Linked DNA regions of Struthio camelus. The protein of the gene in region 2 interacts with the protein of the main gene of each other region in a biochemical or structural test. Links are inferred from orthologs where the notes say so. Each region holds a gene or a part of one and is shown on either strand. Other genes may lie near its edges. The genes, in order: CCNA2, SP1, ESR1 and NR2F1.

What was found.
Region 1: the proteins of SP1 (region 2) and CCNA2 form a complex in vitro, tested with the Homo sapiens proteins (2 studies listed by BioGRID). The link is inferred for Struthio camelus from reciprocal best matches to the Homo sapiens genes SP1 and CCNA2.
Region 3: the proteins of SP1 (region 2) and ESR1 form a complex in vitro, tested with the Homo sapiens proteins (6 studies listed by BioGRID and IntAct). The link is inferred for Struthio camelus from reciprocal best matches to the Homo sapiens genes SP1 and ESR1.
Region 4: the proteins of SP1 (region 2) and NR2F1 form a complex in vitro, tested with the Homo sapiens proteins (2 studies listed by BioGRID). The link is inferred for Struthio camelus from reciprocal best matches to the Homo sapiens genes SP1 and NR2F1.

Annotation. Positions count from the first base shown.
Region 1 is NC_090945.1:19,618,680-19,626,173, forward strand, and holds the start of CCNA2 (cyclin-A2), read left to right. Parts: upstream 1-4,475; coding exon 4,476-4,631; intron 4,632-4,820; coding exon 4,821-5,082; intron 5,083-5,190; coding exon 5,191-5,306; intron 5,307-5,684; coding exon 5,685-5,908; intron 5,909-6,449; coding exon 6,450-6,654; intron 6,655-7,494. Other genes in the region: BBS7 (Bardet-Biedl syndrome 7 protein), read left to right, coding at 468-577, 686-789, 1,999-2,122, 3,128-3,264. UniProt on the Homo sapiens protein: Cyclin which controls both the G1/S and the G2/M transition phases of the cell cycle. Functions through the formation of specific serine/threonine protein kinase holoenzyme complexes with the cyclin-dependent protein kinases CDK1 or CDK2.
Region 2 is NC_090969.1:3,370,641-3,377,725, reverse strand, and holds the start of SP1 (transcription factor Sp1), read left to right. Parts: upstream 1-4,069; 5' UTR 4,070-4,227; coding exon 4,228-4,234; intron 4,235-4,707; exon of another isoform or gene 4,708-4,759; intron 4,760-5,722; coding exon 5,723-5,817; intron 5,818-6,512; coding exon 6,513-7,085. UniProt on the Homo sapiens protein: Transcription factor that can activate or repress transcription in response to physiological and pathological stimuli.
Region 3 is NC_090944.1:81,057,813-81,065,176, reverse strand, and holds the start of ESR1 (estrogen receptor), read left to right. Parts: upstream 1-4,350; 5' UTR 4,351-4,447; coding exon 4,448-4,503; intron 4,504-7,364.
Region 4 is NC_090982.1:54,170,509-54,177,501, reverse strand, and holds the start of NR2F1 (COUP transcription factor 1), read left to right. Parts: upstream 1-3,990; 5' UTR 3,991-4,069; coding exon 4,070-4,517; intron 4,518-6,993. UniProt on the Homo sapiens protein: Coup (chicken ovalbumin upstream promoter) transcription factor binds to the ovalbumin promoter and, in conjunction with another protein (S300-II) stimulates initiation of transcription. Binds to both direct repeats and palindromes of the 5'-AGGTCA-3' motif.

The DNA.
Region 1 (7,494 bases), on a different chromosome or scaffold from region 2:
GTTGGGGTTCTTGTGGTGGAGGGCCTGTTTTTTCTCCATTCTGGTATTGCAGCTTGCCTTCCTGTTTGCCTTCCAGGTCTTAGAATGATAAACTTAAGAAGAATGTTGGTATATAAAATACCATCCAAAATCTTACTTGTGTAATCTTAATGCCATGCTACAAATAAGATAAAATTGGTTTATCTGTGTATGCTTGCAGATAACGCTTTGTCTTAGTTACTAGAACAAATTCCGTTCTCTGACACGGTTACGCTGTGACTAGGAAAGGAGGGAATAACATGGGTGTATGCAGCCACCCAATATATGAAGAATCACCATGACCTATGTAGAGGTTGCTTTCTCTGATTTAGGTGTTAATTTATAGGTCTTGTATTTTAGAATGGGGAAGTATCGAATGCATGCATCTGTTTCAGGTTGGTCTGCTTGTTTAAAAGTTTTCTTTCTTTCTTTTTTTTTTTTTTTAATAGAAAAGGTGAGGGATTTTTTAAGTCTGACAACATTTCTACCATATCCATCTTAAAAGATGTGCTTTCCAAAGAGGCTACTAAAAGGAAGATTAATCTTAATATATCATATGGTAAAACTTCCTTACTGTTTCATTGTCTTTGACTTCATTTTATATTCTTTTAAATGAAACATTACTCATTTGCTTGTTGTTTTTGGTGGTTTTTTGATGCCCTACTAGACATAAATGAAGAATCTGTGAGGTATACATTAAAGCTCATCCACCCCAAATTAGAGTATCAGCAGCTGTTGGCCAAGAAGGTTCACTTAATAGATGCTTTGAAAGTAAGTATTCTCCTCTGAAGGATTTTTGTGTGGGTTATGTTGGCAGATATCAAGCTGTAAGGCTCAAGTCAGCATGTGTTATAATGTTGTCTAATCTTTTTCTGTTCCCAATACATGTGTAGTAGTCGTCTAGGAGACAAACATTTTAAAGTAAAACTCCTATTTGTAGTATATAACAGTGAAAAACATAGAATTACTGATTGTTGTTGAGGATGTTTAAATCAGATAGTAGACATGGGCAGCTGATTCCTTCTTGCGCTGGCCTCCACCAAAGGACTAGTTGTCTGAACTCTTTGGTTAGTGGAAAAACTTTACTACCGGTGACCACACAATATATTGTAAATTTTTATTTTATTATCAGTAAAAGTATTTTACTTAAGCTTGATTAAACAAACCTGAGAGATAACAAAATAATAATTTATTCTTACTGCGTGATATGTTTCTGCATAAATAATGATGTTGCAGCTCTTGGAGAAAGTGTTTTGTGCTTGCTTTTAGGCTTTTTTTGTTAGCAAACCTTAAACTTTGTGTCACTGGTATCTAAATAATTTATTTATTAAGAGGCAGTGAAATAATCTGGCGACTGATAAAAGCTATTATTCCTGGAGACTCAAATGCATAATTACCTTCAGTCTAGAAAAAAACCAGTCTTTCTGTATGGGATAAAAGGATCTATGTTGATTTGATCTAATAGTAGACTGAGGCGTTTAGAAGATGTCTTTAAAACCTTTTGCTGTTAGGAGTTCAGCAGTACTTTTGGGATTTACTTTTACCTTTAGACTTTTAATGTGTGCTACACTTCCTAGGAATTTACTTATTCTGTAAAAGAATGTACTTACTCTGTAAATATACTTATTCTGTTAAAGGTGTTTATTCTGTAAAAGCGTGGTGAAGGCTTTGGGCCTTCGTTAGGCTTGATTCTGTAGAGGCTGAGCTGCAGAGTGATCCTGTTCTGGCAGCACTCGGAGCTCGAAGATGTAACACGTAGCATTGTGAGAATCTAATGTATGAAGTGACAAGTAACATCTGGCATTTCATTAGAAGACCTAGAAAATAAGGCACTTCTAAACTAGCAAGAGTTATGGTGAAGGGCATTGTCCCTGAGGTATTTCCTCCTGTCAGATCCAAGCTGATTTTTTTTTTTTGTTGCTTTTATGTTTGTTTAGTACGTACCAGTCTCTAATTTTCACAATTTAAAATGTCTTTGAGGAATTACAGGTTCATGAAGGAAATGTGGACTTCCTGCTACCTAAGTACCGTAGCATTTTAGAAGAGGCAGATCAGCTGCTTGAGGAATACAAGAAACAACCTGCACATCTCGAGAGACTTTATGGTGTGTTGATTAACCCAACTTTTTTTTCTAAATGCAAATTAATGTTCAGAGAACACATTGGACGTGACTGAAATAGTTAGGAAGTCAGTATCTGTAGCATTGAAATAATATGATAAGGGGGTACTTTTAAATAGCTTCGGGAGACCTAGAGGTGTCTAGCCATATATGTCCATCTGCTCATACAGCTAGGCTGGATGGCTACACAGTATTTTTGATCATAACCTTCCAAAGTTAAAGGTAAGGTAGTAGAACTTAGCACACACCAAAACTGGTTCTGCTACTACAAATTTAAATAACTCTCCAAAGGTCCTCAAGAATTATTTGCCTGAGAATTTCTAAAATTGTCTTACTATCATAAGCTTAGTGCTGCAAATGCAAATACAGGATTATTAGCAAGTTACTTTTGTATTTTCTATTACGCAGCTTTTCATATTCGGATGATCCTTGTCTTTATGCATATGATGCAGAAATGTATTCTAATTCAGGATGGCGTTTAAGAATATATTTAAGTTGAATGAGTGATTAAGTTCTGCCACAGGAAAAAGACTTTTACAAGTTAACAGAAAAGCAGAAAAATACACATGGGATGGGAAGGGAGAATCTTTGATGTAATTAAGTGAAGGAAATTCTGTTAACTTTTCTGGTGCTCCCCATATAGCCTTTAGCTCAAGTAATCTCTGCCAGGTGCTAATTTGATAATGTATCCATTATAAACCCAGTTCTCCTTTCATACCCTTTGACAGTTCCTTTCTCCGGAGTGTTTCAAGTATGGGTAATTCTAAGGCAGAAATACCTGCTTTGGAATGAAGCTGGAATCTGGGCTAACAGGAGAGTGCTTTGGGTTTATTCAAAAGAAAATCATTGTTTAAAACATGAAGTTTAAAAACGGTCTCGTGTCTAAAACCAAAATCGACTAGAATAGTCTATACATAGCAAAGAGTTAATAGTAGAGATATCTCATGGTGAAAACAAGGCAAATAAAAATCTTGGAACTTTATTTTGTAGGTATGATCACAGATCTCTTCATAGATAAATTTAAATTTAAAGGCACCAATGTGAAAACGAAAGTTCCTCTTCTTCTGGAAATTCTGGATGGCTGTGATCAAGATGGACTAATTGCTTTTTTTGAGGCTGCAGCCTGAATTGGAAGCAACAAGGAAAAGGCGGAGTGATTTATTTTTTTTTATTTTTATTTTTTCAACCAAGGCAGTCCACTATGGAGTCGAATACATTATTTTTTGAGAAATGTTTTTATTATTCCTTTTACGCTTTCATTTTATTCTTACTTATTACCATATTGAATACTGGTCCATTTTAGTTCATATAAACTGTTGTACGTGTTAAATGCACACGTCATTTATATATACACAAAATGTTCTTCATAGCTAAGGAAAACTAGAGAACCAGATACTGAATAGCCTTTTTGCAGGAGTACGTTTTCAGTATTGTTAGAGACTATAAATAGGAATATTCTCCATTTGGAAGAATGTATGAGGAAATTTGTTTTCATGGACTTAGGACAGTTAGGAGAAAATCAGCTGTTTGATGTGTAGCTATATTATTTGTTAGCGGTACTGAGCAAGTGCTTCAATGCTATCAGCACATTGTATGTAACTGACACACATGAAAGTGGGGAGAATTATCTCTGAATTTTAGATTTACACGATTACTTTAAAAACTGCATGTGAACTCTTGTTTAGAATGGATTGCATTAAATTTCCTCCATGCGTCTCATTTGCCTCAATTCTTCATTTTGTAACTCATTCCAAGTTACTTTCCAGTACTCTTTACTGAAAAATCAGTGTGCTCTTTAGCATCTGACTTTTTAATTTAAACTTAAAAGACATTAAACAGCCTCTGGATAGAGGTGTGTGTGTGTGTGTGTTCTTATTTCCTGAGCAACGAAAATAAAGAAGAATAAGTCATGACATTAAGTAGGAAGGCAAAGATTGAAAAACAGTTCAAGCACCAGTGCTGGGCTGCTTCCCTGGCGCGGGACCCGGGGGGGGGCGGGACTCCCTGCCCGCCGCCCACTGCGCATGCTCGCTTCCTCCCGCTCCCCAAGCCACGCCCCCTCTCGCCGCAGGCCACGCCTGCGCTCCGCAGCGCGCCTCTCCCCGTTCTCCCTTGGCCCCTGCCGCTGCCCGTAGGCCGCGTGACGCGCCGCCGCCCGCGCGCGCTCCTCATTGGCCGGTTCAATAGTCGCGGGCTACTTGAACGGCGAGAGCGGCGCCGCCGCGCGACACTCGGCCGCCCCGGGAGCCGGCACGCGTCGCGCCCGTGCCCTGCCCTGCCCTCCCCTCCCTCCGCCGGCAGCGGGGCCGCCCGGCCCCGGCCCCGGCCCGGCGGCGCGATGATGTTCGCGGAGCAGGAGAACCAGGAGAACGTCCCGCCCGGCGGTGGCGGCAAAGCAGCGCCGCCGCCGCCGCCCTCCTCCTCCGCCGCCGCCGCCCGCGTGGCGCTGGGGCTGCTGCGGGGCCCCCCGGCGCGGGCCGGGCCCCCGCCGCAGGCAAGTGCGGGGCGGGCGGGGGCGCGCGCGCGGGGCGGCGGCGGGGGCGCGCGGCGGCGGGGGGGCGGGGCGATGCGCGCGGGCCGGGGGCGCCGGCCGTGGCCATCTTGGCGCGGCGGGAGCTGTCAGGGCGGCTGTCAGCGGGGGCCGGGCCGGGCCGGGCGGTGCTGACGGGCCGCCCCCTCGCAGGCGGCGCGGAGCGGTGGTGGCGAGGGCCATGCAGCGGCGGCGGCACCGGGGCGGCCGGGCGGCGGCGGCCAGCCGGCCTTCGCCATCCATGTGGACGAGCCCGACGGGGAGCAGCAGCGGCGGCGGCGACGCGGGGCGGCGGCGGCCGAGAAGGAGGAGGAGGCGGCGGCGGCGGCGGCGCTGGGGCTGCGGGCGGCCGTGAGCGGCCTGGGGGAGCGGCGGCCGTTGGCGCCGCTGGGCAGCAGCCTGGAGCTGAGCTGCGGTGAGTGCCGGGCGCGTCGCGGCGGGGCGGCCGGGCGCTGCCCCGAGGCCGCCGGCGGGCCGCGGCCGCCCGTGCCGCTGCTCACGCGGCCGTTGTGCCCCGCCGCAGATTCGCCCAGCGTTATGGACATCTCGATAACCTCCGACGCGGGAGAGAGGAGCCCCAACGTCAACAACGTGCCGGACTACGTCGGCGATATCCACACGTACCTCAGGGAAATGGAGGTGAGAAGCTGCGAGCTGCCGCGGTTCGAGCAGGGCTAAGGGCGGGAGAAAGCCCGGGCCGAGAAACGTACCGGAGCGCTACTTAACTGCTACGGTGGCCAAAGCAGAAGGCTGCTAGAAAGGGAGAGGGAGAAGATGGGTGCTGTGTCCGCTGCTGCGAACGCAGGACTGCTCTTGCGTCCTGTGACTGTGCTACGCGCTGCGGCCTAAGCGGGAAAGCAAGACTACAGAAAAAGTGCTTGCTGATCCTACGTTTGCCGTTGCTGGCTGCTTCTGCCCTGCTTAAAACCCTTTAACTACGATAAATAGAGTTGAAATGCCTGCTTCCCTGCAAGCACTTAATGCAAACTAAACCTTGTATGTTATCAAAACTTACAGGTGAAATGCAAGCCTAAAATGGGTTACATGAAGAAGCAACCTGATATCACAAACAACATGCGGGCTATTCTTGTGGACTGGCTGGTGGAAGTTGGAGAAGAATACAAATTACAGAATGAAACCCTGCACTTAGCTGTAAATTACATTGATCGGTTTCTTTCTTCAATGTCTGTTCTAAGAGGAAAACTGCAGCTTGTGGGTACTGCAGCTATGTTGCTTGCATCGTAAGTGAAACTGCTTAATTTAAAATTCCACCTGCTGGTCTCATACAGATGGAAATCTTCTCTTGTGGCTATCATGTTTTGTTGTCTGTAGGCAGACTGACTAGGGATGGTTTCACACTAGGTAAGAAGCAGCAGTTATCCCCCTAAGAGCTTGGTAGCCTGTGTCAAACTCTGCAAGCGAGGTTCTAGGCTGTGTTTGTGGATTGGCCTAATGTGAGGATTCGTTATTTCTAGTTGCGGCAGCAAAAGACTTTTCAAACGTATTTGGGGGAAAGAACGTGAAAAGGAAATTTTGCTCGCAACTGTTAGTCTCCTAACACTTTCAGGAACTTCAGTAACTCTTGAGTCCCAAAGTACTTAATGGTAAAATTGCTGAGCGTAGCTCTCCATAACTTCAGAGTCTGCAGATCCAAGACCTAGTGAACTGGATGCAGCAAACTTATTGAGTTACAGTATACAGCTACTTGTCTTTCACTAACTGTTGCTGGTTACTTGGTTCTCTGCTACGCAATTACTTGCTTATAACTGTTCTTTATGGCAGGAAGTTTGAAGAAATCTACCCTCCTGAAGTGGCAGAGTTTGTCTACATCACAGATGACACCTATACCAAGAAGCAAGTTCTAAGGATGGAGCACTTAATTTTGAAGGTTTTGTCATTTGACTTGGCAGCTCCAACGATCAACCAATTCCTTACCCAGTATTTCCTACATGAGCAGACAAGTGCTAAAGTTGAGAGCTTATCAATGGTAAGTAAGAATTAATAGTTGAATCTGCGTAACTGGAAAGTTATCTTATTAAGGCACCTTACAAGCTCTGTTTTCTATTCCCAATAGAAAAGGAAAAATGGTAAAGGATACTTCAGTCCAGGCTTTTCTGTCTCCCAGTCTTTCTTAAATCAGTAACGTGACTCCTGAGGAGACTTCTGGAGAGCGCGCCTGCTGTGCCATGTGCTCCTCCAGTGGTGGGGCTCTGCCATTGGAAACTAACACTTTTGTCTGCTACTTAGTAGTGGAGCTACTCTGGCACCTGACCTGGCTCAAGCATGAATGCTTACTCAAAGCAGGCTGAGATTGATAAATTCAGGGTCTTTTTCCGTGCTGGATGTTTTCCCTGATGCTTTCCCACCTAAAATTAACACTCTCCTCCCCAAAAAGGGACATCGTTTCTTAAGTCTCCATGTTAAAATTTCCTGTGGAAACTGAATAGGGATCAATGCATAAACGTATTGGTCACCGAAAACTAACGTCTTGAATAGCTAGTATCTTGTCTGGGTGGACTTGTCCACTCAGTGGTTCAGTTTGGCTAGAAAGGACACTCACTTGTTTTTTGGGGAACAAGCATCGAGCTTTAAATCCAGAAGCTATTTTTTCGAAGCAAAGCAGAGCAAACATCTCGGGCTTATCTGGATAAAGTTAAGCTTTCTTAAACGCAAAGATGCCAGGTGTGGCAGGTGCCAGAAACGCTAAATGGAAGCAGTTGTCTCGCTAGGCGAAGGTCAGACGTGACTGGACTCTTCCCTCTAGATCTTACTTACCTCTAAAGATAAAAACGTGGTATTGAAACAGTTTGCATGGGAACAGTGTTTG
Region 2 (7,085 bases):
GGGGAACACTGGGAGAACACTGGGGGAATGGGGAACAACGGGGGAACAGGGGAATGGGGAACACTAGGGGGAAATGGGGGAACACTGGGGGAACAGGGAACACTGGGAGAACACTGGGGGGAATGTGGGAACACTGGGGGGAATGGGGAACACTGGGGGGAAAAGGGGAAACACTGGGGGAACACTGGGGGGAAATGGGGGAACACTGGGGGGAATGGGGAACACTGGGAGAACACTGGGGGAATGGGGAACAGTAGGGGTAATGAGAGTAATGGGGAATACTAGGAAGAATGGGGTAATGGGGAACAATGGAGGAACAGGAAGCAATGGGGGAACGGGGAACAGTGGGGCCAATGGGGAACAATGAAGGGAATGTTGGGAATGGGGGACAATGGGGGAATGGGGAACACTGGGGGGAATGGGGAACAATGGGGGGAATGGGGAGCAAAGGGGGAATGGAGGTAATAGGGAACACTAGGGATAATGGGGGGAATGGGGAAGAATAGGGGATTGGGGAACACGGGGGGAATGGGTGGAATGGGGAACAGTGGGGCTGGTGGGGAACAATGGGGGAATGGGGAACAATGGGGGAATGGGGAACAGTGAGGGCAAGAGGGGGAGCGCAAGGGAATGGGGGTCCTGGGCTGCTAATGGGGAAGGGGTTCCTAACGAGGCGTGATGGGGGGGGCTTAATGGGCAGCAAAGGGGTGCTAAGGGGGAGGGCCTTCGCCCCGACGTCCAGCACAAAGAGCGGCGCGTGCCGAGCTGGCCAGGACTCAGCTCCGGGGGCCGGCGGCCCCCAGCCGGGCCGCGCGGGGAGGAGATAAAGCCCCAAAGCTCTGTCGGCCGCGGGGCCGGGCCCTCTCCCGGCCCACCCGGGGGGAGCAAGCGACGGGAGCAAGCAGGGATTTGGAACCTGATTTTGGAGGGGGGGGGCTGAGAAACGAGGATGGATGGCGATTCCAGCCGGGGGGGGGTGGTATTCTGCTCCGGAAAGGCTGGGGAAAAAGGAGCCATGTCACCTCCCCGGTACCCACCAGCCAGTGCCGTGCCGATGGGGAAACTGAGGCACAGGGCCGGGCCCCGCTAAGCTCTCCGGCGTCCGCCGCTCAGCGTCCCCACGTGTCTCCCCCCCCCCCAACCAAGCAGCTCGGCGCAGCCCCCAACCCGGCCTGTCCCGGTGCCACCGCTGCAGGGGCTGGGGGGGGACGGGGGGGCGGCCGCGGGCCCCCGCCGGTCCCAGCTGCTGGCCCACGAGCTGCTGACGCCGCAGTCCGCGGGACGCGGGCCCGGATGAAAGGAAAAGCCGTGTTTGCTCGGCGCTGGCGGGGGGGGGGGGGAGTTGAGGGGGGGGGCGGCCCGGCCTCCTCCCCGGCCCCGCGGCAGCTGCGGCGGCGACTTCCAAGGCCGCAGCGGGATTTGCGGTGAAACTCCGGCCTCTTCCCTGCCGGCAAGGGATTGGGGGGGGGGGGACGACGACACCAAAGCGACCGCCCGGCTCCGGAGGTGCGCACCGCAGGGACAGCCCCCCCGAGCAGGGGGGGGGGGAAAGGGGGGCAGGTCCCACGCTGGGGGCTTTGCGGCCGAATCGGCCCGAGGCGAGGGGGACAAAAAGGGCTGACGGGGTTTGAAAGACCCTTGGCCAGCGTAGGGAGCCACGGCTTCGCCCGGCTCGCGGGGGGAAACCGAGGCACGGGCGAGCTGGGCCATCCCGGCCGCTCTGCTCCGACCACATCCTCCCTTTCCGCGGAGATGTGGAGTTAACGGGCTCACGGCGGCAGCCCGGCTCCCGGGAATCAGACGCCCCCCGGGACGCGCTAGCACCCCTCCGAAAACCTCTCCGAAACGTCCCGGCGTCTCCCGAGCTGGCCGGGCGAGGGCTGGGGTCGGTCGGCAGCCATGCGGGCCGGCGCGCCGGCTGGGAGGCAAAGGGAGGGGAAGCGGGTTGGAAAAAGCAGGCTGCCAACGCTCCCGCGATTTCGGCTGCTCTTTCGCTTTCAGCTGGGGCTTTTTTACAGGGAAGACGAAGCCGTTTAGCGTTTCCAACCCTGCTCGGCCTTCCCAAAGCAACCGAACGCCGCCACAGCCGGGCCAATGCTCCTGTCCTCGGCTGCCCGCGGGTCCGACTTCCGCCCAGCTCCGTATTGCTCTCCGCTGCCAGGGTTTTGGGGGAAAAGGCCGGCGGATTTGTTACATGAGAGATGCCGGAGCCGGGATTAGGGCCGGAAGATGTTCCACCGACGCCGAGCCCAGGGAGGGCATGGGTTTGTTTTGTTTCGCTGCGCTCCGTCCGTTTCTTCTCGAAAAAAACAAAAAAAACCCCTCGGTGTTATTTTAATTACTCAGGGGCTTGCAATCTGCTGGCGGGGGGGGCAGGCTGCCGCGGGCCGAGTGCCGGGAGGGGGAAAGCAAAAATAAAACAGTTCCGCTGGAAGCGGGGTGAGGTCATGGTTAGCGACGGCAGAATTTTCCAGCTGCTGAAAGAGGGGAACGATGCAAAAAAAACCAAAACAAAACAAAACCAAAAAAAAAAACCAGGTCACTTAACACAGCATTTGGAAGGACAGCAGGGGCACCGCGCAAAGGATTTGCCCGAAACTGCGACCTCTGACTCCTCGATCGGAGCGGAGCCTCCAAAACCAACACGGGCAGCGCGCGGGGAGCGGGGAAGCGGCGCTCCGTCCCGCCGGGATGGCGGCAGGACGCCCCGCTCACGCCGCCGCCAGCCCCGGCGTCCCGCCTCGCCGGCGGGGCGCATCAAAGGGAAGCGGGGGGCCGAGCCAGGCGGGATGCGAGGGGCCGGGCGGCGGGAGGCGGAGGCCGGACGGCGACTCCGCGCGCCGCTTCCCCGCGGCCTCTGCGCGAGGGCCAGGAACGTCCCGGCCCTTCGAGGACCCGGCCGGGAGGAAAACCGCCTCGTTTCGGGGCAGTTACTCCTTGCGGGACCCCGAGCTGGGCCCTGTCACCGCTCGCCCCGTGGCTCTCTCTCCCTTTTTATAAACCTGGCACAATCTGGGGGCTTTTGTGGAAAAAATGACACCCCCCCACCACCACCCCTCAAAGCACCTTTTGGCCCCCTAACACGGTGCTGCCACAGGGCAGCTGGCACCCGTGGAAGGGAGAGGATGAGGCACCGCGACAGTGACGGCCTGTCACAACGGGGCTGTGGGGACGGCACCCGGCTGAGGCGCTGCCGTGACAGGCCACGTCGCAACAGGGAGTCGAGGGCCTGCCGCCATGACAGCCCCCCCCTCCCCCGACACGCTGCGAGGAGGGTTCGCGTGCGGCGTTGTGACGGGAGGAGGATGGGACTAGAGGGAACGGTGGCACTGTCGCGACACGGCCCCGGCCAGCCTGGCCGCCCCGGAGGCGGCAGCTCGGGCCCCTGCGCTCCCCGCTCGGGACAAGGCGGCGGCTGGGGTCGGGGCGGAGCCAGAGCCAAAATGGCGCCTTTTCCGCCACATTCCCAGCGCCGCCAAGCCGTCCCTCCAAGGGCGCAGCCCGGCCGTTCGCCCCGCCCCCACCCGGCGCCCATTGGTCAGTTTGAGACGGATCGCCGTTCTCATTGGCGAGCAGCCCCGTTCCTGCCGACCCATCCGGCCTCGGATTGGACAGTCAGCCGTCAATTTCCGAGCCCGCCTTCTCCAGCCGCGCGGGCAGCGCGGCTGCCCGGAGGCCAGTTGGCGGGTCCTCACGCCAGTCATGCCTCCGCCCCGCCTCCCGCGCGGGACCGCCGCCCATTGGCCGTGGCACGCGCCCATCCCGCCGCGGTTCACGCCGCCTTGGCCGCTCCCATACGGGGTCTCCCTGGGAGCCCGCGCCGGCGCTGATTGGCCGGCCCTCACGCCAGCCCCCCCCTTCCCCTCCCCCGGCCGCCAGCGCCCTCCCGCGCCCCCATTGGCCGCCGCCCGCGGCGCCCCCCTTCCCCCACGGGGCGGGGTCGCGGGGGCGGTGCGGCGCGGCCCCCCCTCCCCCCGCCGCCGGCCCGCCCTCGCGCCCCATTGGCCGAGCCGCCCGCCACTCGCCCGCCCGCGGCGGCGCCCCATTGGCGGGCCCCGCGGCGGGGGGCGGGCCGCGGGGCCGGGGCCGCGGCGCGCGGCTCCCTCCCTCGGCAGCCCCTTGGCGGTCACCGGCGGGGTTAGGCCGCCTCGTCAGCGAGCCGGGCGCGCCCGCCCCTCCTCCCCCCCGCCCCGCCGCCGCTTGGGCTCGCCCCCCCCCCCGGCCACCATGAGCGGTAAGGACGGGCCCACCGCGCCGGCGGGGGGGGGGGGGCGAGGGGCGCGCGGACACACCACACACACACACACGCCCGCCCGCTCGGAGGGGCCAGCGGCGGCCCCGCCCCGCGCCGGGCCGGGCCGCGCCGGGCCGGGCCCCGCCGCGCCGCGCCGGGGGGACCTGCCGGGGGAGGGACCCGGGGGAGGGGGGAAGGCCTCGGGGGAGGGACCCGCGGCGAGGGAGGCCGGGCGGGGGCCGGCGGCCGTTCAGCCGTGCCCTCCCTCCGCCCCGCCGCCGCGGGAGGGGGGGGCCGCCGCCGCCGCGGCCGGCGCGGTGGGGGGGGGGGGGGAAGGCGCGGGGAGGGCCCGGTGTGAGGAGAGGGTCACGGGGTGGGGGGGAGCCGGGCCTGGGCGCGCCCCGGTTGGAGGCGTGGGCCCGGGCGGGGGGGGGGGGGGAAGCACCGGGGAGGGGGTGTTTATGCGGGGAGATGCCGGGGGTGGAGCAGGGAGAGGGGAACACACCGATGAAGGGGTATCCCCGGGTGAGGGGGGAGCCTTAGGCAGGCGGATGCATGTGGGGTGGGGGGAAGGAGCCCGCCGAGGGGTGAGGGAGAGCTGTGGGGAGGGGACCGTGGGCTAGGGGGGGATCCATGGGGTGGGGGAGAGCCGTGGGGAGAAGGCCCACGGGGCGAGGGGAGAAGCCGAATTAGAGCGTTTTGGGGGAAGGAGCTGTCGGAGAGGGGAGGAAGGCCCTACGAATGACCTGGGGGGACCTGGAGGGAGGTCTGCAGGGGGCCTGGCAAGGGGTGCTCGAGGGGCAGGAGTAGGGGGCACAGGCCCCAGTTCTTTGGGGGTCAGGGGTTTTGCCAGGGAAGGAAGGTTTCGTGGAGGATTGTGAGGGGCTGGGGGGGGATCCAGGAGGATACGGATTTGAGGGGGAACAGAGACACCGGGCAGTGGGATCACGGGGAGCGCAGATGGGGAATCCTAGCCTGGATGGGGCCTCTCCAGACGGGGATCCCTGGGGAAGCCAGTGGGCTGGATCTGCCAGGGGAAACCCCTGGGCAGGGCAAGGAGAAAGCCTCAGGGGGTGGATCCGCGGGGTGCCGGGGCCAGCCAAGGAGGGCCTGAGCGGGAGGTGTGCTCCCAGGCTAGCGGAGAAAGGGAAAGGGGAGGCCCGAGGAGAACCGAGGGGCCAGGGAGTGTCCCGAGCAGGCAGGGAGGAGCTGAGGCCTGGAGCGCGGCCTGTCCCTCCTCCGCCTGTCTCCGTGCCAACTCCCCTTTGGCAGCTCCCTCTGCTTCCCAGCCCCTTCTCGCTGGTGCCGGAGCAGCACTCGGTCCTCCCAAAAGTGCCTACCAGAGTGCCTTCACCTCTCCCTGCCCCAATCCCCTGCTTTTCCAGCCCCATAACTCCTCTCAAGTCCTTGTGTTCCTCTTCCCCCCCCCCCCAATCCCTCTGCCCAGAAATGTATTTTAACTCCGACTGTTGTTTCCGGCCCACACAGACCAAGAGAGTCCCGAGGAAATGGCTGCAGTGAAGCCCGAGAAGGGCGAAGGAGATGCCAGCAGTAATAGCAGCGGAGGTGGTGGGGAGGGCCAGGTGAGTGCAGGGAAAGAGGCGGTGCAAGGAACAGCCCGAACCTGGCAGCTTCCTGGCTCCGCTCACCCTGGGGACTTGCCGACCTCGTAGCAAAGTCCAGGGCCGGGGCGGGGAGCTGCGCTGAGGTGTTTGTTTGGCCCAGCCAAGCGCTGCACAGGCTCCTCTTCCCAGGGAAAGGAAGAGAGGGCGAGTGAGTGACGGGGGAGCGTCGCGCTGCCAAACACCCTGTTGGAACGTGTTCAGCAGGGAGTGCCAGCCCAGAGCATGTTTCCCCTCCTCCCCGAGTTGTGCATGGTGCTCTTGAAAATAGGCTGTACACCCTGGTTCCAAGTAGCTGCCACGGCCCTGACCAGCCCTTTCCCTGATCTGGGTGCCCAGAAACAGCTGTAGGAGTTGTTCTCCTGTAGTGCTACAAGGAGATTCACTCGCTTTGGAGTGGAAGAAATGTGTCTCTTTGGGTTTTACATGCAAACTCCCTCCCCTTTCCTCCCCACCGGAGGGTTTTTCACTGTGGGTTCAGTTTGTCCCGGCCTGACAGCCCTGTGTCTGGCAGTTGTATTTTTCCGGCTGTGGGTGGGTTTTCTCAGGAAGGAGTGTTTATCTTTTCCAAGTACGCTCCTCCCTGGCTTCTCTTTTTTTTTCGGCCTGCCCACTGGGCCGCCTCCTGTGTCCTTAACTCCTCCTCTCCTTCCCAGGAGTCCCAGCCTTCCCCGCTGGCTCTGCTGGCAGCCACCTGCAGCAGGATCGAGTCTCCCAACGAGAACTCCAACAGTTCCCAGGGCCAGCAAGGCGGGAGCGGCGAGCTGGACCTCACGGCCGCTGCTGCTCAGATTGCCCAATCCGCCAACGGTTGGCAGATCATATCCACTGGCTCCAGCACACCGACTCCTTCCAAGGAGCAGGGCGCCAACGGCAGCAATGGCAGCGACTCATCAAAAAGCCGGCCCGTGAGCGCGGGGCAATACGTGGTCACGGCCGCCTCCAATCTGCAGAACCAGCAGGTGCTGACGGGCCTGCCAGGTGTTATCCCAAATATCCAGTACCAGGTCATTCCCCAGTTCCAGACCATTGATGGGCAGCAGCTCCAGTTTGCCACCACCCCTGCCCAAGTCAATGTGCAGCAGGATGCCTCTGGCCAGCTGCAGATCATCCCCGGCACGAACCAGCAGATCATTACTAGCCGAGCCGGGACGGGTAACCTCATCGCCATGCCAAACCTGCTGCAGCAGGCTGTCCCCATCCAGGGTGTGGGCTTAGCCAACAACACC
Region 3 (7,364 bases), on a different chromosome or scaffold from region 2:
CTAACTATATTCCAGTAATCCTGGTAAGAGTGGAAGGAAGGGGAGGAGCACTGATTTTTTATACTTCAGCTTTTTCTCCTTTCAGGTTTTATCCAATCTTGGCATATTTCTCATGGGTGTTTGACCATCAGCTCAGATTAAACAGAACTAAAACAGAACTCGTTTCATCATCTTTTATTCTTCTTCTGTTTCCTCTTCCTTCTCCGTGCTCTCTTACTTCCTTTTTTGATCACTGTGGACAAAGCTCTCATCCTTCATGTTGCTCTGGCCTGGACGTCAGTGTTGGTTTGGACATCCATGCTGACTGGCATGTGCAGTTTAACTTTGAATCTTAATCCCTAATTTTAACCAGGCTGTGATACTAGACTGTACCGCTTACTTATTAGATTTTCAAACCAGATGATGTTTTGTGTTTTCTTCCCCAACTTGAGGAGTCCCTCCCACACAGGAGGAATTCCTTCTTCTCAATGATATCCAAAAAATTACTCTTTGGGGTACTCTTTGGAGGCTTTGGAGCCTGCCTTGAAATTCCCTCTCCTCTGTGATATTAATCAAAATGTGACAGCGGTTGCCTGAATGGTTCAGCAGCGAGAATGGTCTTGTACTTTCACTAGTTTCCCGATCAGTCTATCTGTTTGTCAGTCTGCATGTCTGTATCTGGCATCTATCTCTTTTCTTCATTGTCTTAAATATCACACAAAGGTTTCCCCCCAGAACATTAGTCTTAGGGACGAAAAGATCACTCCTACATATGACAAACAAAAAATTAGGAGTGGATTTACCACCAGGCCTTTGCAAGGAGCACCCTGAAGCACAGGCAGTGAAGTATCAAGACTGGAAATCTCCAGAAGCTGAAGTTATGAAAAGCTTGAGAGGTAGCAATGGGTGCACGCAGGAAGCAGCCAGGATACAGCAGCTCTCCTCTAGATTTTCACCTGACCAGGATACAGATGTCTAGGTGTAGTGAGGGCTGGCTGCTCCCGAAGGGCAGGGAGCCGGGACCTGATGGTGACCCCAGCGCAGCCGTGCCCTCGCCCAGGAGTGCGCCCTGCAGCACTCAAAACAGGGCAAGCAGAGCTGGATGCTGCCAGCAGGGTCTGGAGACAGCCCCAGGCTCAGCGAGGGGGTTGGCCAGATCCAAGGTCCAGTCAGGAGCAAAGGGAGACAGGGCTGGGACGGGGCTGGAGACAAGGCTACAGGTCGGCTGCGAGGTGCCCATCCAGGAGGCAGGGCCAGAGGCTGGGCTTGAGACAGACAAACCTACAGCTGCTGTGGCATGGACTGACGGCCCCTGGCTGAGCTAAATGGGCTCCTGGGCCTGGGGCTGGGGTGAGGGCAGGCCTGGGAGGCCATGCAGGGCCGGTAAGGCCAGTAGAGCCCCCAGGGCTCTACTGTAGGATTTGAGGCTTGCGGGCCTCCTCCCTGCCTCCCATCCAGTCCATATTAATTCAGAGCCAGCTTCTGGTGGGCATCCTGGGTACAATTGCCCTGGGCCAGCTGCTCAGAGGTGCCCTGGGGCATAGAGGCTCCACAGACAGAAGATGGCAAGCAGAGCAAAACCAGAAGACAGATGGTGGAGTGTGGCCTGAGCCGGGTGTGTGGCAGGTGGCAGGACCAGGCCCAGCCCGCGCCTGCAGCGGCGGGAAGGCGGCACGGAGCCGTGGGGCACAGAGCCGCGGGGCCCCAGGGGGAGGACAGAGCGGACCGGACAACCTTGTGCTGCAGCCAGCCAACACTCATCCCGGTCAGGTTCGTGTGGTGGCAACAATCTCGCACTTTGTTAGTGCCCCCAGGAAAGGCCTCATCCTTGGCCATGCTGGGGGCCAGGGGTGGCAGAGGGCAGGGAGGATCTGGCAATGCCATCCAGGGCCAACAAGGGGCCCCAAGAGGTTGGGGACAGCAAATGGGCTTCAGACGTGACGTTTGGGAAGCGGGAACGGGCTGGAGAAGGAGATGCTGTGGGGAGGAGGTCCTCGAGGGTGGACATCTGGCAAGTGACAGGCATGGAGAATGCGCTCGTGCTTGTATTGCAGATTATGCAATATGGGCACTTTTTAGTAAAAAAAAGTCAGAGTTATGTGATTACATCACTCTCCTCTCTCTCTCTCTCTCTCTTTTTTGTGAGCTTCTACTCTTCACAGATGCAGAGAAAATTTGGAAAATTTTATCCAAAAGGTAACAAAAAAGTGATGATAAGGTTAAAAACCCAAATCAAACCAAACCAGATCATAACTTTTTTCGAATAAGACCTAATTTGTGGATATTTGGGACTGGCAATCATGTAGAACGGAAGTTTTGGGGAAAAAAAATGATTGGGAACAGGAAGAATGAGGACTTTGTTTGAAGTAGCAGTCTGAGGTAAGAAATATGCTGGAAGGGAAACAGAGCATAAGAACCTCTGCTTGCTGAGATACATTCATCTTGCTCTTGATTTAGCTCTTTGGCCCATGCGGTATATAAATTATTATAGTATTAGAGAAAGAGCCCATTACAGCTATACTGACTAAGATTTCAAATACAGTATTTCCGAATTCTTTATGTAACAAGTTTGACAGCTCATAAAGTTTGACCATAAAGTTTGGCAGCTTGCTATCTGTAGAGTAACAGTTTGTCTAAAACAAAGCAGGAGCTCTGTGTATGTGTCCCAGTTACTGCAGTCCCTCGTCTCTGCGCTGGACTTCAGCCAGGAAGGGCACACTTTATAGATTTACTACATTCCCAGTTAGGGCACCCTTAACAGTTCCCTTTTCTCCTTTTTCTTAGTTTTATTATGATTTAACTTTTAGGCCTTTTCTACTTTTTAGGTAGAATTTAGCCATTAGATTTCAGTGCAGACTTGTGTGGGCAAGCGTGGATGGCACTGCTTATTTTGCTGGTGCTAGAGCTCTGGAAAGGCAGGAGAGTTGCTGCTGCTACTGCTGCTGCTGCCACTGCCACTGTTCCCCCCAGGGGTGGCCAGAGGTTGTTGCTGGAGAAAGAGTTTGCAGCCAGTGCTCACCAGGCCCACCTTGCTATGTTGGCAGTCAAGGAGAGGCAGGTTTAGCTTTTTAAGGATCTACCTCAACCCCTCTCTCTTTGTCTTGCCTCTTTTGTTTCCTCTCCCTTCCCCTGCACCCCAGCCGACATGCTTACCCTTGAGTCTGCAGAGCTCCATCGCCTGTGTTTCTGAGAAGACTTGAGGCAATTCTGGTACAGGGCTAGGTGCTAAAAGCAGATAACTAACATTTTTCCCCAAAGATTTGAATGAAAGGACAGAGTTATGGTCAAAGTGGCACCCTATCAAAGGATTAACTACCTCTGATAGATTGTTGTATCTAGATAAGTATGTCACAGGTGCTGCTGATTGAGTAAATTTGCCAGAATTGTGCGGCATTGCATCAGTTTATCACTCAGTAACCTAGTCAGATTGTTGCTGGGACAGAGATGTGAAACCAGCCAGAACAAAGGGGCTGTTCTGTTCATGTAGCGTGAATTAACTTATTAGTAGGTTACAACTACTTGTTATAAGCTTAATGCACTTTTTTTTTTTTTCCTTCGGTTCATCGTTATTTCAGACACGAGTTCAAATCAACAACAAAGTTTGCTTCTCTTCCAGGAAGTGATGCCTACTTAGGGCAGAAGATTCAAGGAATGTTCTTGGCTTGAATGTTAAAGAAGCATTCATTGTTTCATTGCAGTGACTGCTTCCTTCACATGGATTTAGAAATCAAACTGCCTCTCCTTATAAATTTGTCAATACGTTCCTGTTGATTTTTTTGAAGACTCATAAAAAAATCTGTTTTTTTCTGCTCAGATTTTTACTGGGGAGAAGTTCATAAGTTGGATGAGGGCTCCCTAGAATTTAGAAAGAAACAGAATATACTAATGTCTAAAAAAATGGTTTAAAGGGATATTAAAATATAAAGAATGTGGTTAAGGATAAGTTTGCTGATGGATAGTGCTAAATCATTCTAAGAAGTATGGCTGAGAACAGGACAGAAGATCCTTGTTTTATTTATCCTTTGTATTGCTTTATTGCCACAGGTTTTGGCTTTATGTAATTTTTTTCAAGAGTGTGTTTACTGAAAATACAGTGTACTGACCTGAGAGGGAGGTCCTTGCTCCTTTTTCCTCAAATAACCTTCTCAGTGGCATACACATGACCCCATACATGGTTTGCAGAAGTTGCATCTGGCTCAGGAAGTCTCCGTAACAGGAAATAGTTGGAGGTTGGGTGAGTACTGGGAGAAGTGACTCATACACTTGCCTGTTCTTACTCTTCCCTAGACATCTGCTTTCAGACAGTGTTGGAGGCAGCCTGTAGGGTGAGGCAGATGGCTGTCTGACCCAGCATGTCCTGACACACTTTCTACCTGGTGGTCGTTTTTCCTCTACGTGTGGAGGGCATGATTTGCTCTCCAGCGCTGCTTCCACTGGTGGCTCGAGGTGATGCAAGGATCAGCACAGCATGACACATCACTTGTGTTCAGCCGGAAGCCTGCTTCTTGGGAAGCAGGCAGTCAGGTGCGTGTAGGGGAAGCTCAGCTATAGGCAGTCAATTTTGTCTAATCTTCATAGCTTCAGTAGCTATGATAGCTTCGGTCTGTCAGGAGGAAGGATATGGTAGAAATATTTTCATGGCATCATCTGACTGCCAGTATACTGTCCGGATCTGATCATTATAAATAGGGTTTTGGCCTAAGCAGTGAAGAGCGAATTCCTACTTAGCAGCTCATTCTGCGGTCTTGGATTGGCTACAAAATAACTTGGTCTCGTGCGCAATTTAACTTTTTTTCACCTGTGTCCAAAAGATTTAGATGTTGTTTGATATCCAGGACTCAGAGTAATGAGCCTCTGGAAGATCAAGGTAGAGATTTTGAGCTTTATTATTTATTTTCTTGGTAGCCTGTACTACTGAACAGATGTGGTATAGATGAAGTGAGCAACACATTACTTCTGAAGATTCATAAATCCTGATGTTTACTGGTTCCTGGCTCATGCCCATGTGACTCCTCATCCCATGGAGGAGAAGGGTTCTTGCCTCAGCTGTATTTCTGGGTGATGGTTCTCTCTTACAATTCTCCTCACAGAAGTCAGAGGAATCACTATGGGCGGCTGGAGGAGTGGGTTGTTGTTTTGTTTTGTTTTGTTTTTTCCCCTGGAGAAGGAGCATAAAACAAGACTTGGAACAGAGACAACAGCAAAGTGAACCAAAATGTTCATGGGGCTTTTGTATATACAAAAAATACTCACATAGGCACTTGTGGGTGTGTATGTGCAAGTGGTAGAATTAGTCTATGTCTTGCATATATGTGCGTGAGTGTATGCTAGAATTCATCCTGTCCTTTTGAAGAGGATGTAATTAGGGAGTGGCAAAACCAGCCAAATATCAGCTAAACTTATTTATTATTAACCGATATCAGCCGAATTTAAATTCAACAAATGTGAATAAAGTTTTGGAAGGAGAGGTAAGCTAGAGGTAGGAAAGCTCTTCTTTTCCACTGCTTATTCAGTTGCTCCATGGCAAACCTATGTATCACTTTTTTCCCATGGATTCTCTCATTCTTTTTCTGGGGCCCTTCCCTTCCCCCTTAACTCTCACTTTCTGTAATATAAAAATAATACATCTGAAAAGGGTTTGGATGCAAAGTGGGAGAGGCAGTACCTGCCTCCATGCTGGTGAAGGAGACACAGGATCTGGCCTCAGCAGGACCATTGCCAGGACCCACACAGATGAGACCAAAGGCCTGTCCTACTGTGTGTCCTGGTGGCTGAGCTGATAAGCACTGCCTGCAACGCTAGGAAAGAAAGAAAAGGAGGTGGTGACTCCTGCACAGCTAGTAAATAGCTAAAGGAATGTTTTATATATGGCCATAATTCTGTGATAATCTAAATAATTAAATTGAAAGCTTTTTTTTTTGGCTGTATGTTGAAGGTTATGCTACTTATTGGTGTATTTATTTTAATCAAATATTTTTGGAGGCTCAGACTGTTTTTAATTGAAAATACATCCTGTCCTCAAAATATTGATCCTGGAGAGCCTAAGTTAAATAATGATAGCAGTAACAGAAATTTCTTTAGACCTGACTGCCAATACTAATGACTAGTGACAATTTTCCTTTTCTAAATACGGACTCTGAGTTTTGTGCCTTAGTACTAATTTGATGCTTTATTGCTGGAATAGTTTCTATTTATTTTCTACTGTACCAGGGGATCACCGTCTGCAAGTATCATCTTCCTACAATACATTATTCTAAGCTATGTTACATTACACTGGAATAGTATGCATGCTGTAGTAGGAAATGCTTTAATTCTGAGCCTGATTTGCAATCACACTGTATCTAGAACTAGCTAGCTAGCACATTTAGAGCAGGATTAAATTTCTGGCAGAAAAAAATTGGGCTTCTCAAAAAGCGTTTAGCAAATTCACCTGTGTTTCACCAAATTTTTCCATTTAAAACCAGGACATGAAAAAAGCATTACAAAACATTAGGAACTTTACTTTGTCATTTGCATGATAAAATGTTTTGATGTTTGACACAAAATCAGCTTTTACTTTGAAATTTCTTTGATGTTATTTAAATAGTAAAAGTTTCATGTTTAGAATGCTTGATGCTAGCCACTTGCTTTCTGTCAAACAAAATGCTTTCTGTGATCTGCTGATAGCTTCCTCTCACGCCCTAACATGTTCAGGGTTTTCATGAGGTCATATTTCAATGAAAAGTCGAGAGAGGGAGTGTAGAAGAGCGAGGGAAAGTCTCTTTTGTTTTTCTCTTAATTTCTCCTACCAAGCATATAGTCTATACCTTTTCCATCTCTCTTGATCTTCCCTTTTCTTTTTTCTTGTTCATGGCGATCCCATTCCAATTAGTGAAAAGAATTCGTTACTACTGTTCTGTTTTCCCTCGACTTCTCTAAACTATTTAACATGAAGTAGCTACAAAATTAACATGAAATTAAATAAATTGTGATAGTAATACAAAAGGCAAGGTAATCAAATTTGATCTTGATTTAAGTTTCAGCTGAGAAAGACTTGTGTTAACAAGAAAATGTAGTTTTTCCTTATTAATTCCTTGGCTTGTGTGGGGTAGTATCACTATTGTTTAGCTGGGAATTGTGATGCCTGCTCTAATTAAGATTTGCTATTAGATCTTTAGATCTGCTATAACATCTTTCCATCAGCTGCTGTTCATTTAGGAACCCTTTACCTTTTGGGCTGAAATTTCCTGTATTTGATCCCTGGGAAAATTTCCATTTTCTTTCCCCTTATCTCTTTTGAAAATTAGAGGAAAATTTGTTTGCTTATTATATTTTATTATGAGAGGTGGGAAATACCTAATTTCATAAAAGTTAATATGCCTAGAGATTTTGCCGGCTATGTGTCT
Region 4 (6,993 bases), on a different chromosome or scaffold from region 2:
CTCTCTCCCTCTCTCTCTGTGTCTTGCTCTGCCTCTTTTACTCCCTGTCTCTTCACAGTCTGGGGAGTAAAATCTAGATGATATACATACGGAGCTCGCTTTTTTGTCTGATTTAATCTTATTCGTTTCACCTTCTCACTGACCAAGAGACAGGACCGAGAGTTTATTTGGGAAGAAGGAGAGAGAGGAAAGGAGCCTACTGTTGCATAGTCAATAACATCCTTTTTATCAATGCAATATACAATAGAGACCGCTTGGCCAAGGGGCTCATTGAAAATCTCTTCATTATTTCAGGACAAAATCAAGCGTTTAGTCTGATCTCAGAAATGATGAAGGATTCTCCTTTCCAGCCGGCTCTCAGTCTCAGATTTCAGAGCTGACACAAAAATAAAATTGTGATCATGATACGTCAAAGTTGAGGGCTTTTTTTTTTTAATGAAAGCAACATCTCTTTACAAAAAAAATAACAACAAAACTTTTGTCATATATTTCATCCCCTTTCCCCCTGCAGTTTTTTCCCCCGGCTTCCAATCTGATTATAAACTTTTATGGGAGCTAAGAGGAGGGTAATCTCCCTCATCTCTCTCTCTCTCTCTCTTTTTCTTTGCAGTTTTTTTCTTCTTTATCACAAACAGTCTTCTGACCCAAAGCGAATTTTAAACCTCTCGCAGAAAGGGGGAGGTTTCAGGGAAGGAAGGCTTGTGAGAAAGGAGGCTAGGAGAGGTACGCAACTAGAAAGAAGGGGGTTCTTTTCCCCAGTGCAGTCACTTAAAAAAAAAAGGAAGAAGAAGAAGAAAAAAGAAAAAAAGAAGGGGGGATAAAAAGCCATAAAAAGATTTTGTGGCTTCCTACTGCTTCAGAAAAGGCAGAGGCTTTGTGCGCGGCGGAGGAGGGGGAGCGGGAGCCGGTGGCTGCGGCGGGCGCAGCGGCTCGGCTGGGTGCCTGTCCGCTAGATGGCAGCCGGATCCAGCGATTCCGCTGCGCCACGCCGCCACCGCCGCGCCGGGGCCGCGCCGGGCGGAGCGGGGCGCGCAGCGCGGCGCAGCGCGGCCCCGGCGCGGCGCGGCGCGGCGCAGCACGGCGGAGGGGGCGCCGTGCCCGCCCGCCCGCCCCCCGCTCCCGCCCCTCCGCCGCGCCGCGTCGCGCCGGCCTGCGCGGGCGCGCAACCCCCGCCGCCGGGGACTGCGCTTCACCGGCATCGATCCGCGCAGGCGGCGCGCGCAGAACTTACTTTTGGGCTTTTATTACTCGCCGGCGGGGCTCTCCTGGCGGCCAGCCGCGCTCTGTAAGAGGAGACACGGGCGTGACACGGGGGGGCACGGCGGGCACAGGCATTCGGGTTTGGTCCGGCCGCTTCCCTCCCCCACCTCACCCCCCACCCCCAAAAATGCTTTTCCCCGAGCAAAGACGGGTGTTGATTTCTGATCCCATTTCATGACACTGTGAACCCCACCGGGGCCATGGGCAGTATAATAAAAGGAGGGTGGACATATTCGGTGAGGAATGAGAGCAAGACAGACCAGCAGCAAAAATAGCCCAAAGTGGGACAGGAGTATATGCAGATGTAAATATGTACGTGAATGTGTCTGTGCACACGCACACGCACACGCACATACACATATACCCCTTCCTGCATAAAGCATATTTTCTTCTCCATCATTAAAATCCCTCGCCTGGTTTTTGCAATTGAAAACAGACACAGAAATCCCATTTTAAAATATGAAAAACTTTTCACGGGGAGCCCAAATCGTTCCCTTTTAATTCCCCTCTCCGCCTATCGCAATGCATCCTCCTCTTTTGATGTGTGTGCATGGGTGTGTGAGAGCGAGCGAGCGAGCGAGGGAGACCATAGACGACCCATACTAATCAGGTCTCAAAGTAAATAGCAGCGCAGGGCGATCTCAATGTAAATTGTGCTTGTCAGAAGAATCCCCTCTCCCTCCCTCCCTCCCTCGCTCCCCCTCTCCCTCCCTCACTCCCCCCCCTCTCCTCCCCTCCCTTCCCCATCCCAGTCAGTAGGTAGCAGAGAATTATAAAAAAAAAAAAAAAAAGACCGGGGGGGGGGTAACCAATGGAGTGAAGGAGGCTTGGCTAACCTTAGCCTCCCATTTTCTCTCCCCCCAATTCAGGGCTCTGACCAGTCAGTCGCCTTTGATTATCAGTTGCCAGCAGCCCTTCTCTTGGCTCCTTGACATGAGCTCCATATAAGGCAGCGATCTCCATAGAAACGTGTCAGTTTCAATAGTAGTGTCAAAGTTCACTATATACAGACATTCGCGCAGATCCCCCTTTCGGAAACATTGCTCTGCTAGGCTTCCCGTTTAAACGCATTCATTTTTTGGGTCTCTCTCTCTCTCTCTCTCTCTCTCTCTCTCCCTCTCTCTCTCTCTCTCCCTCTCTCTCTCGCTCTCTCTCCTTTCTTGCATATTCTATTAGTTGTTTTTTTTCCCTTCATCTCCCTCTTCTCCTTCCTTTTCTTCTTTTTTCCACCCTTCCTCCTTGTGTCTTTCGCTTCATTCCTGCAGGAGAAGAGAAGAAGAGAGAGGTGAAACTAAAAAAAAAAAGAAAGAAAGAAAAGGAGAAAAAAAGCAGAAAGAGAGAGAGAGACAGGGGGAAAAAAAGCCCGGAGAGAGAGAGAGAGAACGCGTTCACATCTTAATACCATTATTATTTTGACCGTTCTTGTCTATTTTTTTATTTTGGGGGAGGGTTTTGCTTCTGGCTGATGAGTTTTTACCCGAAATACTTTTTTTAGACAAACAAACAAAAAAAAAGAACCTTTTTTGGGGCGATTTCCACTGATTTTTTTGCAACCAGCATCGTGTGTTCTCACAGAAGAAGAAGGAAGGGACAAGAAAGAGGAAAAGAAGAGGATTTATTTATTCGACCTACTTTGGATCTCTCTTTTTCCTGCGTGTGTCATTATTATTCCCATTCTCTATTTTTACACTTCGCCGTGAATTCGTCTCCTCTGCGAATTTAGTCACATCCGATATTTTTTTTTGTATTTTTTTCTTTAAAAAAAAAAAAGGCAAGAGAGACAGAGAGCGAGAGAGAGAGAGAGAGCGCGAGAGAAAGAGAAGCGACCGGCAACCTCCTCCACCACCACCGCCACCAACACAAAATCAAACTGTCTCATCTCCCAGCCCGCCTCGACCGCGCTCCCCGGCACTGCCGCCCTGAATGGCTGACGGCGCCCTGCCCTGGACCTGGCCCCCGGACACCTCCATGCCCTGATCGCCGGCAGCCGGCTCCTCTCCGTGCCTCCAGCGCCCGCCTCGCCAGCCCGGCGCCCCGAGAGCCCGCAGCGGCGGCGGCGGCGGCAGCGGCGGCGGCGGCGGCGGCGGCGGCGGGAGCCTCCGCGGCAGCAGCGGCGGCGGCGGCCGGGCCCCGGCGGCGAGCGGCGGCGAGCGGCGGCCCCGACCTCCTCCTCTTCCTCCTCCTCCTCCTCCGCGCTCCGGCTTCCTCTATGTCTGCACATCCTCTGCACTCCTAGCGCTCGGACCGCGTGTGCGTGTGCGTGTGTGTGTGTGTGTGTGCGCGCCGCGCGGGTGTGTGTGTGTGTGTGTGTGTCCGGTGTGTTACTCTCCTGAATGCCTCTCCCGACAGCCTTATTTGCCGTTTCTGATTTTGCAACTTGAAGTGGTGGTGGTGGGGGGGGGAGGGAAAGAAGAAGAGGAGAGAGCGAGAGCGAGACGGGGGGAAATAGCCAGACGGGGGTATTTTAAGAGGGGGGGGAGCGCGAAAAAAGCCCTCCATCTCCCCCTCCCCCTCCCTAAAAAAATTAGCCAGCGAGCGAGCGAGAGGAGGGGGGCTCGCGGAAAAAATAAATAAAATAAAGAAAACGGCAGGAGCGGCCCCGGCAGGCAGCGGCGGCGGCACAAGGGCAGCGGCGGCGGCGGCGGCGGCGGCGGCGGCAGCCGAGGCGGCGGCAGGCGGCAGGCACGGTCCCCTCGCTCCCCGCTCGCCCCCGGCGCCCGGCCGCCCGCCTCCCCCCCGCCCCCCGCCTCTCTCCCCGGCAGCCCGCAGCGAGAAGCGCCGCTCCCCAGCACTTTTTTGGGCCCGAGATATGGCAATGGTAGTTAGCAGCTGGCGAGATCCGCAGGAAGACGTGGCCGGGGGCACCCCGAGCGGCCCCAACCCCGCAGCGCAGCCGGCCCGGGAGCAGCCGCCCCAGCAGCAAGGGGGCTCGGCCGCCCCGCACACCCCGCAGACCCCCAGCCAGCCGGGACCCCCCTCCACGCCGGGCACGGCCGGGGACAAGGGCCCGGGCCAGCAGGGCTCGGGCCAGAGCCAGCAGCACATCGAGTGCGTGGTGTGCGGGGACAAATCCAGCGGCAAGCACTACGGCCAGTTCACCTGCGAGGGCTGCAAAAGTTTCTTCAAGAGGAGCGTCCGCAGGAACTTAACTTACACATGCCGTGCCAACAGGAACTGTCCCATCGACCAGCACCACCGCAACCAGTGCCAGTACTGCCGCCTCAAGAAGTGCCTCAAAGTGGGCATGAGGCGGGAAGGTGAATATTTCTTCCCTACTATACTATCGCTCTCTCTCCCTATGGCTATATGTGTGTGTGTGTGTGTGTGTGTGTGTATGTGCGAGTGTGTGAGAGTGAGTGTGTGAGTGTGTGTGTGTGTGTGTATACGTACACACACACAAGCACATATATATACATATATATATACACACACACACACACACACATATATATATTTTTACAGCTCTCCGTGGCGATCTAGGTCTCTCTCTGTATTTACATGCACATGTCAATCTCTCCCTGTGCCTGCACTCCATCTGGCAGCTTTGCACCAGGTTTTGTTGTTATTGTTGATGGTGGTTGGTGGTGTTTTCTTTTGCTTTTTGGTTTGTGCCTCCTGCCCTCCTCCTGCTCCTCCCCACCCCCTTCCCCAGCACCGCCACACTCTTCCCTTCCCTGCTCATTGTGCTGAGAATTTATTATTATGATCGCTCACTAAATATTTATCATTTAGCCGCTATCTCCGTGTGTGTGTGTGTGTGTGTGTGTGTGTGTGTGGATGTGGTTTTGTCTATTGTTGGCATGAGACTGGGGGGGGAGGTGGGGGGAGATGCATCTCTGTACGAGATGTGCTCCCATTCAGCTTCCTTCCCCCCCTCCCGCCCCATCATTTCTCTTTAAACCCACAACACTTCTCGGTAGATCCATTCCCAGCCTCATCTTTCCCGAAAGAAAGATGAAAGACGTGTAAGTAGGAAAGAAAAAAAAAGAGGGGGAAATGTGCTACTGTATCTCTGCTTCCCTGTGCTTCCCAGTGCCCTGGAGTGTGCTTCTGTGTGAGATTTGGCCTTGTTTTCACTCCATGCGTTCAAAGGAAAGTTTGTGACTGAACCGGGTTTCTGTACTTCTGTCATTTTTTTAGCACGCTGCTCATTTTATTTCTTCATCAAACTCCACCCTCTCCTTAAAGCCTGCATACAAATTGCGATTTATAACCTATTTACCGATCCTTCTCATTTTAGCAGAATTCATAGTCCGCATCTGGCAGTGGGCTCCTCACCATTTCCAAGTGCTCCTTTATTTATTTATTTTTCTTCTCCTTTCTAAGAGTTGCTGCGGTTTTCCTCGCATTAAGGCTTATTTTCGCGTAGGAAGATTTCCTGCCCTCTTTTCTCCTCGAAAAGTATTTCTCGGTTTACAGTTAAAGTTTATCCTGTGACTATCGTTAAAGATATCTTAGAGTCACAGCGACCTAGTCGATTTTGCGGAGTGGGGATTACTACTGCCTTAATTGGTTTTAAAATTATATTTTATATGCCACAAGAAAAGAAATGGAGTTGCTCCAGATCTGAAAGAGCTCACAAATATGACGACTTCATTGGTAGCTTCAGGGGTTGTTGGTAGGCGTCTGGAAAAAAAAAACCACCACCAACAAACTTAGAATTGTGCTTGCAGTTAATTGAAAAATAACTGCCAAGTTTAAAAGCAGATTCAAGAGGCAGAGGTGGGCTGGAGGGCAGAAAGAGGAAGGTGCAGCCCGCGAGACGTGGAGGGCTCGGTGGGGAACATACGTGCTCTGCTACGCTGGAATAAAAGAGAAAGTTGAGAAAATGTGGCATGCTGGAAAGATGAATTATCTGTGTGCCTGTGTGTGTGTGTGTGTGTGTATGCATGTGTGTACGTGTGTGTGTGTGTGTGTGTGTATATAGAAATAAGCCTGAGTAGCCGTATCTTCTCCTTAAGTTACCTTTGTTTACATGGCATGTGGTTTAAAACGCTGGCACTGATGAAGTGAAACACACACACACACACACATACACACACACACACACACACACACACACACACACACACACACACTAAAAAAAACTTTGGTCAGCTTTCGGGACTCGAGGCATGCTTACGCTCTGTGTGGAGATGGTTAATGAATCCAGTGTTTTTGCAGTTGCAAGCTTGTGCATTCACTGTGCAACGCTGACTGCAGGCTTTTGCAGTGGCAACAGCGCACCAAAGATATTAATTACACCGTCCCCTTTTTTTTCCACGAATGTTTGGCTATTGTAAGTTCGGACCTTTTTGTTTTATTTTCCCCCTTCCCTTGACAATATTTAATCTTTCTCTTCCTTTTAGCAGGGCGAACTTTGCTGGGCGGGGGAGGGGGGTCCTGTATGGAAAGCTTGTTCTGTGTAATAAAGTTAGCAGTGGGAAGCTGGGGGGCTGTGACCTGGTCTAGTTTTAAGGGTAATGATGTGATATTTTTGAAGAATATGGACGCATTTATTTTTTATGATTTGAAAAAGGAAAGAAAAGCAACGCAGCAGTTCACTTGTAAATCTCAGTGCTACCAGGGCAATCGGCTGGAATACACAACAGAGCTTGGCTATATTTTTAACAGCTGGCTGTGATTTTTAACCCCACTTTCTTACCACCCGGAGGATTTCTTTGATTTTATTTTTTTATGTGCGGGGTTGCCTTTTGTTGCGAGAGGGGAGGGGGCCGGGGGGCGGATTTGTCT